Caenorhabditis elegans: one gene and its partner. The protein of the gene in region 2 binds, or shares a complex with, the protein of the main gene of each other region. Each region holds a gene or a part of one and is shown on either strand. Other genes may lie near its edges. The genes, in order: rpn-13 and rpt-5.

Region 1 (8,501 bases), on a different chromosome or scaffold from region 2:
TTTTTAATTTGACCTATTTAAAAATTAGGTCATGACCTACTTTTTAACGTGACCTACTTTTTGACGTGACCTACTTAAAAATCAGGTCATGGCCTACTTGTTGATGAAAAGTTTCAAAAAATTTCAGAAAAAATTCAAAACATTTCCGAAAAAATTTCCGAAAAAAATTCGAAAAATTTCCGAAAAATTTCAAAAAATTTCCGAAAAAAATTCAAAAAATTTCCCGAATTTTTTTCTGAATTTTATTTAAATTTTTCCGAAATTTTTTTGGGAAATTTTTTCGGAAATGTTTTGGAAATTATAGGTCATAACTACTTTTTAACGTGACTTACTTTTTACTTTACTGACCTGTTTTCACGTTAAAAGTCACGTTAAAAAGTAGGTCATGACCTATTTTTTAATTTGACCTATTTAAAAATTAGGTCATGACCTAATTTTTAATTTGACCTATTTAAAAATTAGGTCATGACCTAATTTTTAATTTGACCTATTTAAAAATTAGGTCATGACCTATTTTTAATTTGACCTATTTAAAAATTAGGTCATGACCTATTTTTTAATTTGACCTACTTATACAGTAGGTCATGACCTATTTTTTAATTTGACCTATTTAAAAATTAGGTCATGACCTATTTTTAATTTGACCTACTTAAAAAGTAGGTCATGACCTATTTTTTAATTTGGCCTACTTAAAAAGTATGTCATGACCTATTTTTTAATTTGGCCTATTTAAAAATTAGGTCATGACCTATTTTTAATTTCACCTATTTAAAAATTAGGTCATGACCTATTTTTTTATTTGACCTATTTAAAAATTTGGTCATGGCCTACTTGTTGATGAAAAGTTTCAAAAAATTTCAGAAAAAATTCAAAAAATTTCCGAAAAAATTTCCGAAAAAAATTCTAAAAATTTCCGAAAAATTTCAAAAAATTTCCGAAAAAAATTCTAAAAATTTCCGAAAAAAATTCAAAAAATTTCCGAGTTGTAGCCTACTGGGTTTAATATTTTGTTTTTTGTCTCTTCGGGGTTCTATTCATTTTACACCCATTTTAGAACATTATTCTCTGCTGTTTTTCCAGTGTTTTCTTAAACAATAAAAACCATTGCGTGAAGCATTGTTGGGTTACTGTAATGTTAGGGAAAGTTTTTTTCCTTCTTTCGAACAGTTTTAGTAAAAACAAAAACTTTATATAACATAAATAAATAGCAATAATTGAATGGATTGGACTGATTTAGATTCTACAAAATAACGTCGAGAAATTACTGAGATTTGGCTTCTCTTTCCTTCTTTCTGAGAGCAGCAGCACGAGTTCCGACACTCATATTTGTGAGGATCTTGTCGCGGATGAATGTTGGAATGAGATCCATGAGCTCGAGTTGAAGTTGATGCGTGATGTATCCGGTGGTGTCTGAGGTATTTCCAACAGTGTTCAGAGCTGATTTAGCGAACACGGCTCCGTCTGGAGTGAAGAATGAAGTTCTCTTGACTTTTGACATCTTTGTGGCGACCATCATTGGAGCAATAGTTTGGACAGTGATTCCTTGATGTTCATATTCTTTTCGGAGGATAGCGGTGAGCCAGGAGACATACTTCTGGAATAAAATTATAATTAAAAGACGGAAGATATTTTGAAATTCAAACCTTTGTAGCTGAATACACAGCCCAGAGAGCCATTTGATTTGCTCCAGCTGAAGATCCAACATTAACAATGACTCCAGCCTTTCGTGCGACCATTTGTGGAAGGATTCCGGCGGAGAGCTGAGTTAAGAACTTTTTCAGTAAGATCACAATAGTACAATTCTAATAAAACTCACCAATGTTGGTGGAAGAGTGTTGATGGTGGTGATGTTTGCAAGACGCTCGATTCCACCGTCAACTTTGTGAAGTACATCTGGATATTCGTAGCTCATTCCAACGTTGTTAATAAGAACTCCGATCTCTACTTGGTTCAAGGTGGCGAGAAGATCTTTGTAAGCAGAAGGAGCAGCGTTGGTGAAGTCGAAGGCGGCAGTGCGGACCTCAATGCTGGAATACTTCTCGAGAATCTCCTTCTTCGTCTCATCGAGTTTTGATTGGGTACGCGAAACGAGCAGGACATTGAATCCACGACGAGCCAATTCGAAGGCGTATGCTTTTCCGATTCCGTCAGTGGCTCCGGTGACAACTGAAAAATGTATTTTTTGTTTGAAATTCAAAACAATTATTTTATATTTACGCAACAATTTTTTCATTGCAATTTTATTATCAATTGAAAATGATAACAGTTCCAGAGAACCAAAAGTAGTTCTCTGAGTGCTATACGATAAGACATCACCAGAGTAAAAATATAGAAACGAACCAGCCCAAGAAGCTCCAGCTCTTTTCTTCAAATCGATTGGCGACAGAAGAACGTATGGGCCCAAAATATTCGAGAAAATCGTCAAAAGACGATAAGCCACAGCTGCAAGAGCCACGTATCCGGCTCCAACCAAGAAGCACTGGCAAGCCATGTTACCTGGAATTTACAGAATTTCAATGGAAATAACAGGCAGAAAAGATGCAAGGTGCATAAATTATACACTATTTATTTACCGTTTTCAAGATTATCTATATCATGTAAATTGTCAGACGACTCCATTATTTCTTGTAACTATTTATTTATGACGAAAACATATGAAAACTAAAAATTTTCATGAGGTCACGTTTTTACTTTTTTGAAACTCATGCACTCCAATAAACTTTGAAAAATATAAAACTAATCGCTACTATTACGAGTTCTTTCCGAAACTTTCAAATTGATGGTAAAAAGGGTTTATTTGCAGTACTTTACAATGAATAAATAAGTTCTCGAAATGGAATAAAAATGGGGACGTCTTGAAGGTCGAATAAATGAAAGAGAGCGAAGAGAAGTGGTCGATAAACATCGCTCTACTATCTTATCACACCATTTCTGGCATGATGAAGAAATACTAAAGGGACGAGTCGGAAAAAGAGGAACACGGAGAACACAGTTTAAGGGGGAATATGCACAAAAGTGATGAAGAATTTGTTTATTCAGAGAGTTTAATCGACATCCATATCTTCGTTGTCTGGACGGTTGCGCTTTGGCTCTGGTTCGCGAGTGGCGTCATCGTCCGAGTTTTCTGCAAACAATTAACAATGGTTATTGATGTTTTTATCAAAAGTACAGAGGTTTACGGTACTGTAAAAATTGTTTTTGAAATAGCAAATGGATAGGTGTTAAGTGTTAAGAGCAGCAAAATTTTACAAGGAATGGCGCAATGGTCATAGTGCGAAAGGAAACAAAAGGACAATCACAATTAGTGACATATTCAAAAATGAGTAAAAACTCAACAACTGAGAGTGCGCCGTACCTAGCCGAGACACCGTTGCCGCAATTGAGGGGGAAAAGAAGCCGAGATAAGCGGACGGCATCACAGCTCTCCGGCAGATCGGGTTATCAACCCGTGCTGAACGAACGTGAGACTATGTTTCAGAATTTCAAGTAAACTTACGAGTCTTGGCAGCATCTTCTCCTCCCTCAGCCTTTGTGAGATTAGCAGCAAAACCACGAATATCACCTTGATTCGCGGAGCCAACTGTGGCTTCATCCATTCCGAACTGTGCAACTACTGGCCCGAGTTGACCAGTTTGAAGTGCATGTCCAAGTGTATCAGCAGCCTGAAAATAGAGAACAGTTAAAATATAATATGCTTTAAAAACCAACTTGTCTGAATTGCGGAGTTCTGACTGTCTCAGAAAGCTCCCGGGCTGGATCATCAGAAGTTGGAAGATGCGGTGCGAGCTCTTCAGCGTGGTTACGAGCAACTTCAGCAACCGTTTCATTCGACAGAGCAGTTGCCAGAGAGACTGCCACCTCTTTCTTTTGTGAGCGTCCCAAGTTGTTGAAGATTTGTTGAATCGCCGGGTTATTCAAGGAAAGTGGATTTGAAGATCCTTCCTCAGCTGCATTCGTCGAAGGCTCGCAGTCTGCTTCTGACGATGCGTCCTCTCCTCGAGGCACGGAAGAAATTGGAAGAGTGTCAGAGTTTCCGCCTTGCAGAGATTGAATCAATGACATCAATTGCCCTTGATCGATGCCTCCAAGGGGAGCATTCATGTCTGAGCTAGAGATAAGTGATCCTCCAGCAGACTGACGATCAGTGTTTGCGTTAGAACCAGCCGATCGGGAAGCAGCTGGACGAGATGTCGGCGGCTTGTTCAGAGCGTCAGTGACCTTCTTCACAAGATCCTTGTCAACGTCTGGTGTTGAATCTTGAATCCAAAAAAGCTTCATATCTCCAGATTTGAACTTGAGCATATACACTTTGCCATCAGGGCATCCAGGAACAGCTTTGAATTCAGCGTCATCGGGGAAGATTATGAGGTCATCAACAACTGCGCCAGTTTCACGATCCTTCCAGCAAAAGTGGATGAGCATGTCGTTACTTTGCTTAATGAATACCAATCCCTTTTTGGGTTCAGCAACAACTTTTCTCATAGTATCTCCGGATCCAGCTTCAAGGCGAGAGCGTCCAGCTTTGAATTCGACAATATGGCCAGAAGAGGAAGCGACCGAGCGAGTATTACTGAACATAGCAGCCATCTCTGAAATAAATAAATGAATGTTTGATAAGGAAGCTGAAAATACCAAGATGAAAAAATAGAGAACAAACTTGCAAAATTACGAGGAATGAATATCACAAATAAACTGAAGTATTGATAATTGATTTGGAAAGTAACATGTCGGACAGAAACAAATTATTTCCCGTCAAAAAAAATTAAATTCAAATAACTAGTAAAAATATAATGTCTTTTTTAATATTTAAAAGATAACTCGAATTGAAGAAACAATTGTTAACAATATTGTTCCAAATTTGGCTAAAAAAGGATGACTTTTCTCGTGGTGCATTTGCTCGTGGTGTTCAGTGCTTGCGTACAAAACGCTGTTTCCGAATGCACACCGTACATGCGATATTTTGTCACGTTTTGTGTTCTATTTTTCTGTATTTAACTTGTCCTCCGCTCGTTTTAAGACGAATTTGCCTCATTATTTTTTTACCCAATATCTTAAAAATCAAACCACTTTATTCAATACATTATTTTGACAAAATCGGTCTCTGCAAAATTTGAGAATGCCAATTACCGATTAGTATTAGTATTTTTAAAACAAATTCACTGGGTATACACGATGAGTATTAAAACATATTAGTTTAGTTGTCAATATCATCCAGTTCAAAGCTGTTTTTGCTCTTTTTCTTCATCTCCTGAGCCTCCTTCATCTGAGAGAATGGCCCACTTGCCGAACCAAGTGAGGTCTTGCTTTCCTTTGATTTCAATGTTTTCGTTTTACCCGTCTTCATAGTGGTCGAGTCGGTTGTGATGTCAACTTAAAAAGTAATTTTAGATGTCTACGTGACTTTTTTTTAAAGATCTACCGATGTTGCGCATCATAGTTGCTGCCTCAAAGATCCCGAGACCAACATTTTGGGGACTTCCTAGTCCTGGAGATTCCAAACTATTGCTCCGCTGCGAGGAAATCGTTTCCTTCTCTTTCTCCACACCACCCTTTCCTACATTCAGCGACATCGTTGACGGTTTTTGGTCGCTTTTCTTGATAGATTTTCTTTTCTAAAATTTCAGATAATCAACTATTTTTTCAACAAATTAAAAATTGACTTACCGGGTTCTTGGTCTCCATCTCCGACATGTACTCTGATAGATTGATGATTTTATGAACACTTTTCCTTCGGTTTAACTCACTTTTGTCGTTTTTTGCCTGATCCGATAGTTTCAGATCACGAGTTTTTGCATCCAGGTCATCGAAGATCAATTCTCCATTCTTCTCGGTTCTCTGGAACATTTTTTTCTGATTGAAATTCGTAACCTTGTCGGGTAACGGTTCGTTTTTGAATACAGATAAGAACAAACCTTTGCTTCTTCCTGCTTCTTCTTATGCTCGCTGAACATGGTGTTAGCCGTTAGATGGTGTAGTTTGTAGCAAGTGGCTGAAGCAAAATTGAATAAACCTTTTCTCACGATATTGAGAAAAATAATTAAATCTGAATGCTCAGCTCTAATTTTTTTGTAAAAAATTTATTTGATCAGAATAAGAAGTGATACGCGACTACCAAGAATAGAAGAAAAAATGAAGGGGCGAACGAGTTATGTGTTGAACGCCACAAATTAAATGGAGAACACTAATTTGTACTCGAATTTTGCTTTCCCGTTGACTCATGACAGTGGGAAAATGGGTGGGAGTTTTTCATGAAACTACACGAGATTTATGATAGAAGTTTAAAAAATAATGTCCTACTCAGTCTGAAAAACATTCAGAAAATTTTGGTGATTTTTTTAAATAAGAAATTGTCCAACAAAAAAGACTTTACGAGGATGCAAATATACGAAAGAAGCCTGTCTCGTTTAAAATTACTATTGGGTTCTTTTCAATATTTATATTTTTAAGTCCTTCTAGGGTCATGGAATGTGGCTTTGAAGACTCTTGTCATTCTCTTCCTGGATTGATCGTGGGAAGACCCACAAGAATAAGCCCGTTCTCAAACTTGAATTAAGAAAATTTTAAAGCAGAATGGGATAACCCGAAAAAATTTCAGTAGCTCAAACTGAAAAGCTAATCAGTCCTCGTCGTCGTCAAGAAGTAGCCGTGTGAGTGATTGGTTCAGCTTCTTCGGATAAGCGCTTGTTTGCCGGCGTGGGAGTCAACGGAGCCATAATCAAATTCTCGGATTTTTATTGGAGCTCCTTCACCGACGATTTCCATGGTAACTGACTTATTGTGAGAAATAGGAAAGAAAATCTGGCAAAGGATATACATAAAAACAGAAAAAATGAGGAGAAGCAGCAGTCTGAAAATCGCACTTCTTGGTAGGGGTTAAGGTAATGTAGAGACGTGGGAGATTGAGGAAAAAGTAGATAAATTTTTTCAGGTTTTCATTGTTATATGTCCAATTAGAGTGTGCAATACTTCTTATTCTGGTGCAATATAATAACTGAATCTTAAAATATAATACCGTACTCCGCCTAAACCGACACAGGTAAATGAAAAAATCCTTCTAAATAAAAATCCGATTATTTCCATGTTCCTTTTCTTACTTCATGTTTTATTTTTTAAATTCAAACTTTAGGAATTTAATCAGAATATTTAAATTCATAACTTTAATTTTTAAAACAACTCGAAGTTCTTTTCGCGAGAGATATTATTCCGAGAATTCTCTAAAATAATCTTAATTTTAGAAATCGTATCAGTTTAAATAGTTTAGGTAAATACGATAAAATTGTATAGTTGTCCTCCAACATTCAGTTTTTAAAGAAACCGACAACAACATAATTCCCACCACGTGATCTTGTTTGCGTGAGAATTTTCTCTTAACACATTTATTGTCAACAATTTATTTTTTATTTTCAACGTGAATTTGATCATTCAAAAATCGATCGATAGACATTTTATTTCAATAATTTTCAAGCGTTCGTGTAAATAAGTAAACAGAGTCAGTTTTGCGTGATCATTTCCCATCCGATTCAAGAAAAAATTGTTTGCCAAAGTTCTCACGCTTGACTACGGTAAGTTTTTGTGTGCAATCTGCCGTCGAATCGAATGTTTACACCATCTGCCCTTTGTATGACTCTCTTCGTTTCCCACACTATTTCACTTTTCTCTGCTACTGACTCTCAGACAAACCCTGAATTTTAACTGATTTCCTCTTGTTTTTCCACTGTTTTTTTTTAAACTGAACATTTGAAAATTTCTAAAATTTTAATGTCGATTTGTCGCTTTTCTTTTGTTTCATTCATTTTTCTTTCGCTTCTCATGAAAACGGCAAGAATTTGGGAACAATAATTTTAGGATTCTTTCAATGAGCGATCATAGTTCAAACTTATCACGAGCTCAAGTTACCATGAAATCCTTAAAGTCCACGAAAATCGATTTCATATTGCTATATTCTTATATAGATTTTTGCATTCGAGAACATTTATGTAAACTGAAACTTTAAATGTTTTTCCTCCTCCGAAATTTGTTTCTTGTGAAGTTTTCGTTAGCTTTAGTTTTCATTTTCTCAACATTGTCAGATTTTGAAGTAATTTAAACGGAATTCCTTGATCAAAATCCTAAAAAACAGTTTTAAAACAAATTTAAATAGTTTTCTGTACAATAAAACTAAACGTTTGCACATTTGAAAAGTGAGTTTAATTTTTATCAGGATCTGTTCTCTAATCCGCTTTCTGTAATCTCAAGTTTCACAATAAGCTGCCAATTTTATAACTTTTTCATAGTAAATTGTTATTCAATATTCTTCCTAAAATTCATGGAGCTCCACACTCCTCATTAGCCTTCTGACCTTCGAACAAAGCGGCAAAAAATGGCAGGAGCGCCACCTGTAGGTTCGATTGACCTTGAATTCCACCCAGCGCACCACTTCTTCGTTCGGTTCTCCTTGTGTCGCGGCCACTCGTCGATCATCTTTTTTGCGATAATAGTGTCTCAATATATTATCACTTTAT
Region 2 (8,501 bases):
CAAAAAAGTTTTTGATCAAGCTAGTGACTTCCGCCGACTCTCAACTCTGTTTTCGAATTTTCAAAACTTATCGCCGGAACTTCAATCATTTTACAACATATCTCAGTTGACTGGAATCGAAAAGATTCTACGAGAAATTCAAGCAATCTTTCAAGAATTCAATGAGCAGGCTTCTTCTACTATTCTGATTGCACCTCTTTTTATTTCAAAACAAAATTCTTCAGACTTCTGGATTGATGAATGGATAAAGACTGTTTTGAATGATGAAACTCAAGAGATTGAGTTACAAACGAATCGTTTCAAGGAATTATTGCACGATGCAAGATTAGACTTGAGTGTGTTCAAAGATCGAGGAGTATCTGACAGTCTAGAAAATGTTCTTGACATTATCAGTAGAATCAAGACTTTTCGAACATTCTTGAGTGAATTGAACACAATAAAATACATTGATTGTTTGAATATTTCTTCACTTGAAATGCCGTACTCTTTTGCTGAAATTCAGAGTTTATCGTCAACTATTGAAAAAATACCCAATCCGACTCGAAAGGTTATGAAGATTTTAGAAAGTTTTCCATATGATGTCTATGAGGCAAAAAGAAACATGTTAACATACGCTGAATCTATTTCAACAAACCCGGGATCTACCTGGATGGACCAGCAAACGTTTGCTTATCTCCCCCAAACGAGAGAATTGTTCCAAAATTTAACCGATTTCTATGAATTATTGGTTCAAAAAGATACTCAATTGTTTGCTGATTTAGCCAACGCCGGAGAGAAAGAGAGCAAAGTTATATCATGGATTCACAACACAAATCTCTACGAAAAATCATGTGATTCACTTTTTAAACTTGATGATATTAATGATATTAGTCTGGTTCAAAAACGTGTTTCCCGTTTGGAATCTGATATTCACATTGCTAGCCTACGACAGATTCTTGAGCATGTCCCACGGCTCCGAGCAGGTTTGAGGAACTTACTGATTACATCTGATAGAAAACATGTATCATTTCCAATGTCTAAGAAATTCGAAGGAACTCCAGAAAAACTGCTAAACTTTGCATTTGCTGCATATTCTCTGGAAACTATTAGTAAGATTTCAAATATTAGTGAACACTTGGAAACTGTGATCAATAACGGTGAAGCTGTTCTAGGAGCTATCAAGAATATAACTCATCTGAAAATTAAACAAGAGATTGAAGAGACTTGGAGCAAATATCCGGAGTTGAAGAAAAGCCTGGAGAAATTTAGAAGTAATAAAATGAAACTGGATGATTTTATGATATCTGTCAGAACTGAGAAAAACCTTTCACAAATTGGATCAATTTACAAAGAAGTCTCAAATATTCCATTTTCAATGCAATTTGATTTTAGAAAAATGAGAGAATCTTTGAGATACCTAGAAGTTCCCATGAAAGACATGGAAACATCATTAGGAGTACTTGAAAGATTATTTGGAATCAACTGGGATCTTGTTTATACTAATTTCGTGAAAACTCCATCGGATATGGTAGACTTGCAAGAAGAGTTCTTGAGATTTTTGGAATCGAAAGAAGAATCAATTGATTGGGCTTATGTTGGTGGTGCAGCAGCAATCGTGGTCTTTATTTTGCTGACATCAATCTTGGGATATTGTATTGAACGTTGGACGTGGACATGCGTTTAAGAAAACTATGAGGTAAGATTTTTAAAAATATATAGTCTGTGAAATGATTTTTGGCGGAATTGCGTTCGTGGGAATTTCACATCATTATACTTTAAATGTTCTAATCTGTCGGAATAACAGTCAAATTAAATCTACCTACGAAAACGTTATTTCCCAAATTTAGCTCCTATTCCTGTTTTAATTTTCTCCAAAATGAAAATCCCACTTTTTGCCCAATAAGTGTCTTCAAACTCTACACTCTATAATTTAATTGATGTGTTAACCTGCAATTTAGAAAAATATTTAGAATATGCAATAGTTGTACGGAGGCTTTCTTTGATGTTGTTAGAAATGAAAAAGAACTGAAATGTCAGCGTAAAGGATTTTGTCGAAAGGATGTGAAGGAATGGAAAAAGTGTGAAGCATGCAGATATCAGCAATGCTTGGAAATTGGTATGACACTTGAAAGTAAGTCCGATTTTTGTGCCCAATATTATATTCGTGAAAATTTGATGCTCAAAAAACATTGTAGCTTCTTTATTTGCATAACAAACTTCATAAGTTTCAGGTGTTCCTCCTGGCAAACAGCGTCATTCGGCAAAAAATAAAAAGCATCAAAAACGAAGCAAAAGTCTCAAGCCGTCTAAAAAATTGGAGACACCATCAGTATATGATAAGGTAGGTTTTTGCATTGTTGCCATTTTTGTTGAAATTTTAGTCATTTACTTTTCAGTCTGAAGACAACATGGTTTAGGCACATTCGAGTTTGTCAAGTGAAGAGGCTGAAAGTATGAAAGCTTTGACGTCGTGATCAATATAATTGCATACTTTAATCAATACTGGGCACTTGCTCTATTCTCCAATTCTTTCTGTTTTTCACAATCTATTAAAACAAATTAAGTTCAATAAATAATTTATCAAAATTAAAATTTCCACTTTTTCAATTTCCAAATATCATTTCGCTAAACATTTTCCATTTCTCGTTTTACTTTGTCGTTTGACAATTATGAATTCTTCTCAATATCTCAATGGAATCATTATTCTAATCACCATCTTGGCCATGTATTGCAATGAATTATCGATTAAAATTGATATGGAATGTGATTTTGGTGGTAGTGATATACCACGTGTCTGCGTTTTCATCGAAGTTTTTGAAGATGAGCCTATGTGAGTTTATTGTAAAATATTTCTATGGCTTTTATTTCCAAAAATTAGTAGGACCAATCAGCGTAGTATTCCAGATGATTTTTTGAAGAGAACTAAATCCACAAGTAACAGTGAATCTTAAAACAAATATTTAGGTACGAACAACTTCTCAGAAATCACTCACGATGTATTATCACTGACTTAATTCATTTTTCAAGAGAACTTGAAAATAAGGATTATTTTTATCCGGAAGGCGAAAAGCATCGCGTTCGAGTTGGCATACCACCGATTAAATTTCGGAAAGTATTGAGAAACCAGTTAGTTTTAATTTTAAAAAACTATGCATGACTTTCAAGTTTACAGGAAAATTTGACAATGTTCGTGCAAATCTCTCACGATTGTAGTTCCAATAGGAAAATTCGATGTTTTGAAACTTCTCTCTATTACAATACGACGATTTCTAAAAATGAGTGAGCATTTTAAAATTTCAATAGGGTCAATTGACAAAAAAATATATAATTTATAGGATATTCATTACTGATAAGCTGAAAGATCAAGGAAGAATGAGAGCATGCAGTCCACGTTGGGAAGGTAGCGAACTATGGAATGGTCAAATGTTAAATGGAAGATATGATCAATGAATTTTGTTTGAAATAGTTTTGTTTTTTTTTTATTTCAGTGCAGAAAAATTTCTTTGAATATAGAGTAGTACTGTTAATGGGAACTCAAACCAGTTTAACTCAGTACACTTAATCTGATTGGGACTATTGGTCTTGCAGTTCTCAATTTAGTGGAAACTTAATTTGAAGATAGATGTTTTCAAATCTTGGAATTTATATTCTTTCTTAATTTGTTTCGTTTTTCCCTTGCAATACTTCTGAATTTCAGCCTGGTATTTTGAGCAGAATTATATTTTACGAATTCTACTACAAATATTTCAGGAGCTTCAATCAAGCACATAATTTTTTTAAAGGACTATCTAGGCAGAAAATTTGTTTCCACTTTTTTATTAGCCATTCAGTTTTTTTTCTCTCCCAGCTTTGAATGACTCTCAGGTGTCCCATACTTTATTATCTGAAATATAAATACTTTCTCGGCTGGAAACACCACAAGATTTGAATTTTAATATACTCTTTTTCTTCGTGATTTTTGCCTTTTAATCTATTAAAATATCTATTTCAAAATATTATGAATTCCTATACGTTTTGAGAACCCCCTTCAAAAATCTTTCAGTTTTGAACATGCGTTTGAGTTTTTAAATAATTTTTTAGATAGGCAAGTTTAAAAAAAAATTAAGATATCAACAAATTTAGAACAACCTGTAATTTTTTTAATGTATTTATTCATTTATGTTTTAGTTATCGTGAATAGAAAACCGCCGCAAAATTGCTTGAAAATAACTACCATAAACCTTTTGGCGCGTTACCACCCATCAGAATAAATCCGTGCGCCTTATAGAAAGCTTGCCAAAATCTTGTGAAAATACGATAAAAAATCACAATAATGTTTTAAAAGATTGAATAATCAATAATTCGAATTTTCAGGATGTGGGTGCATCTTACGGCCAACTTTTGACAGTGAATGGCTCAAAAAGACAAATGAACGTGTCTACAATAATTATTCTCATTTTGTTTTCAATCGACCTGAGATCACTTATCCAGATTGTAATGCAATTTCTGCTTTGTGTCCTCCGCAATCAAAAGTAGTAGCATATAGTCATAAGACAAAAGAATTGGTAACAGATACACCACCTGTAAGATTAAAATTATTTCAGAAAGATAATCAATGAAATACAAATATTTACAGCTCGAGAAAAATCCCTTTATACTTTCCGAACTTTTCTGCATCGATGGAGAGTGGTTCAAAAGAGGTGTTGGTTCCGAAGATTCGATGCTTACAGGATCCCCAATTTCATGTGCAACTACTAAATAATTATCTGATACACTTCGCATTATTCAATAATGAAATTGATAACAGTAATTGTAAAGATATTTCAATTGATAAATATTTTCAAAAAAGAAAATACTTTCTATCTAACGAGACCCAAATGAAAGAGGCGGAGCGTTTCCATTTGGCACTGGGGCGCGATTGCACTTTAGCTTTTCTCTGCATACGTTTCACTGACGTCAGTACTGACTTCTGGATCGGTCAAGTTACAATTTGAGATGTCTCGCTAAATGTTTGAAGAGCACGCAGAATGTTGAAACAGTGAAAGAAACACATTTCGAAGAGTGACCATTTATGCACATTGATCGGAAATAAATTAGGAATCCACGCACTTCGAGGATGAATCAATAAAAACAGGAGAGGGGTGGGAATAGAATACGAAAGATGAAAGTAAGAAAAAATCGCGTGAGAAAATTCGGGAGCGATTCAAAGGGAACACAGTGACAACCGGGAGTGAAGGATTAAGCGTAGTAATTGAGGGACGCCTTTTTCTTTGCCTGGACCTCCAGAATAGCATCCATAAAGTCTTCATGAAGAATCTCAGTAGCATCTCGTCGAAGAGCAATCATTCCAGCTTCAACACAAACCGCTTTGCATTGTGCTCCGTTGAAGTCATCGGTACAGCGGGCCAGTTCTTCAAAGTTTACATCCTTGCTGAAAAAAATTAATTAGACTAAATTTTACAAATAAAACTGTCGCGAAAACATACTTGACATTCATCTTCCTGGAATGAATCTGCATGATTCTGGCACGGGCATCCTCGTTCGGATGGGGAAGCTCAATTTTACGATCGAGACGACCAGAACGAAGAAGAGCGGGATCGAGCACATCGATACGGTTCGTTGCAGCAATGACCTTAAATTCATATTTACAGCTTATACCGTCTTAAAAATATAACTTAAAATGGAACTCAGCTTACCTTGATATCATCATTTGGTTGGAAGCCATCAAGTTGATTAAGAAGTTCCAACATGGTACGTTGCACTTCACGATCTCCAGCTTTCTCTGAATCGAATCGCTTCGTACCAATGGCATCCAACTCATCAATGAAAATAATAGCTGGAGCCTTTTCCTTAGCAAGAGCAAAAGCATCACGAACAAGCTTGGCTCCATCTCCAATGAACATCTGAACAAGTTGTGGGCCTGCGAGCTTCAAGAATGTTGATTTAGTTTGGGCAGCAACCGCACGGGCCATCATCGTTTTACCAGTTCCTGAAAAACGAATAATTTACACTTGAGCTGTTGTAATTAAAATGGTTATTTTCTAGGAGTACTACTTTATCAAAAATTTTTCGTAATCTTACCTGGTGGTCCATACATGAGCACACCCTTTGGAGGATGAATACCCAAATTAACAAATCGATCCTTGTGAGTCATTGGAAGCACAACAGCTTCAATCAGCTCCTGAATTTGCTTGTCACATCCTCCGATATCGGAATATTGTTCAGTTGGCCGTTCGTCAACTTCCATAGCCTTCACACGAGAATCATATTCTGCTGGTAATTTTTCAAGAATCAAATATGAATCCTTATTGACACCAACGAGATCTCCTGGCTTCAACTCATCTGGATCGACAAGTCCAACAACTGGTAAGAAATATGTGGCACGAGTGGAAGTCTTAATGACTGCGCACTTGGTTTTTTGGGCATCGAGATCAACATTTGCGCCTTCTTCTTCTGTATTATCCTCGAGATCAAGAAGTTCGACAACGTTGGACACCAAGTACGGAAGAGTTTTGTTAACTTTGATACGTTCAGTATTCTCCTTGATCCGTTCTTTGAGAGTGGTTGCAGAATGATTGATACGTTGAACTTCACTTCTCATAATACGAATCTCGTTGTCCAACAAGTGGGTACGGCTTTTGAGATCTTCCGTCGACATTTTCAGAATCTCCTCATCAATAGCATCCTCCACCTCCATTGCCTCTGGGTTTTTTCCGTCTTTTGGCGGTGGTGTTTGCGACATTGTACTGCTTCTGGGGCCTGAAAATTAGTTGTAATTGCTTCTGGTGAGATCTGAAAAGTAGTTCCAGAGAATAACGCAAAGTCAAAGTTCTGGACAATAAAATAAAATCAGTAACACAATGCGGTGTAAATGAGAATATTTAGTTCAAAAAATTAAACGAACGCTAATGTGTATTGAGCGAGTGACAATGAGAGAAAGTGTTTATCACGAGAAATAATGATTAGAATAAAAGAAAGTTTGACTTGATAATTTCACGATGGCCCAAAGGTTACGTCAGTATTTAGCTTACTATTAGGTTTACGTTCCGTCCACAAAATCTGTTTTGGCTAGCTAAATATTATTTAAAAAAGTTTAAAATTTGTGTTACTATCTTCAAAATATCTTTAATGAGTTCTCAAGATAAAAAATTTTGAATATAAACTTAAAAAAAAACAATAATAAGCTTTTTAGCCTTCAGTAAATGATAAAGAATCCAAAAGAACGAGAAATTTTGAAAAGGATGATTTGTGCAATTTAGCGTCGCGGTGAACCACACAGAAGGCATTTAATTTTACGACACTTGAAGTCTTCGTGCAGTTTTATTTGTTTTTATCAGAAAAAAGTTATTTCCACATGAAATTTTCAGCAAAATGATCGAAAAAATGATTCTACGAAGATTTTTCTCAACAAAATCATCAACGATGCGTGCATGGGTCTCTGAAAACGGATCTGGAGTTGAGCTCAAAGAAGTGCCGCTTCCAGTCATAAACAAACCAGGACAAGTCCTTCTAAAAGTTAAAGTGAGATTAATATTTCTTGATTCAAGCAATTTAAATATTTGTAGGCAGCGTCTGTTAATCCGATCGATGTTGACATGTCTCAAGGATACGGTAGAGAATTCCTAGGGACGTGGAAAAAAATAGAGTCCTGTGATGCAGCCGCGTCTAGATTCCCTCTAATTCCAGGAAGAGATTGTACAGCTGTTGTAGAATCTGTTGGTGGCGATGTGCACAATTTAGCTCCCGGTGATGAGGTAACGAAATCCTATTATGCATCGATTCATGATTAAATATCGTATGTTTTCAGGTTATGGCTGTTGTTCCTGTAATTCTTCCAGGCACACATGCCGAGTTTGTTGTCACTGATTCGAAGTATTGCTCTAAAAAGCCCAGCAATTTGAGCTTTGTATCAGCTGCCGCACTTCCTTACGTCGCATCGACAGCCTACTCAGCTTTTACAATAGCCAGGGTCTCACAACGAAATGCCAAACAACAAAGAGTTTTGATTCATGGAGGAGCCGGAGGAGTTGGAAGTATGGCAATCCAGCTATTGAAAGCATGGGGATGTGAAAAGATAGTGGCAACGTGTGCAAAGGGCAGGTTAGATTATCTATATCTTTGCAATTTTTCAAATAAAAATTGTAGTTTCGATATTGTGAAGCAACTTGGTGCAATTCCAGTCGACTACACATCAGACCAGGCGACTCAGGAATTGATTGAGCATGCACCATTTGAAGTTATTCTTGATACTGTCGATTCCCAGCTAGCAAAGTGGAGTGATAATGTAAATATAATTGAGAAGTGGAAATTAATGTATAAAACTACTTCAGGTTATGGGAGTATGGCGTAATTGTGTCCACGTATCAATTGTCTCCCCTTTGATGAGAGAAATGGATAAAAATGGAGTTCCGTTAGGTCTTGTAACGACTGCGATGAAGCATTTTGAAAGATCTTTCCAAGTAATTTTTGAAATATGTACCCGCAACTATAACAATATATTTTTCAGAGCCACTTACGAGGTCGTTGGTTTTCATACGCCTTCT

What was found.
Region 1: rpt-5 (region 2) and rpn-13 share a complex: the UniProt entries of both Caenorhabditis elegans proteins name them as parts of the 19S proteasome regulatory particle complex.

Annotation. Positions count from the first base shown.
Region 1 is NC_003281.10:6,337,337-6,345,837, forward strand, and holds rpn-13 (Proteasomal ubiquitin receptor ADRM1 homolog), read right to left. Parts: upstream 4,593-8,501; 5' UTR 4,588-4,592; coding exon 3,709-4,587; intron 3,663-3,708; coding exon 3,497-3,662; intron 3,452-3,496; coding exon 3,356-3,451; intron 3,125-3,355; coding exon 3,045-3,124; 3' UTR 2,777-3,044; downstream 1-2,776. Other genes in the region: Very-long-chain 3-oxooacyl-coA reductase let-767, read right to left, coding at 1,262-1,594, 1,644-1,772, 1,817-2,166, 2,341-2,496, 2,574-2,619; C56G2.9 (DUF4604 domain-containing protein), read right to left, coding at 5,195-5,370, 5,420-5,612, 5,665-5,696, 5,745-5,835, 5,913-5,951. UniProt on the Caenorhabditis elegans protein: May function as a proteasomal ubiquitin receptor. May promote the deubiquitinating activity associated with the 26S proteasome.
Region 2 is NC_003279.8:5,736,855-5,745,355, forward strand, and holds rpt-5 (26S protease regulatory subunit 6A), read right to left. Parts: upstream 6,718-8,501; 5' UTR 6,701-6,717; coding exon 6,040-6,700; intron 5,948-6,039; coding exon 5,655-5,947; intron 5,591-5,654; coding exon 5,445-5,590; intron 5,390-5,444; coding exon 5,197-5,389; 3' UTR 5,014-5,196; downstream 1-5,013. Other genes in the region: F56H1.10 (uncharacterized protein), read left to right, coding at 2,649-2,809, 2,944-3,105, 3,145-3,258, 3,315-3,429; rad-8 (Reticulon-4-interacting protein 1, mitochondrial), read left to right, coding at 7,330-7,479, 7,524-7,712, 7,766-8,058, 8,104-8,242, 8,289-8,417, 8,465-8,501. UniProt on the Caenorhabditis elegans protein: Component of the 26S proteasome, a multiprotein complex involved in the ATP-dependent degradation of ubiquitinated proteins.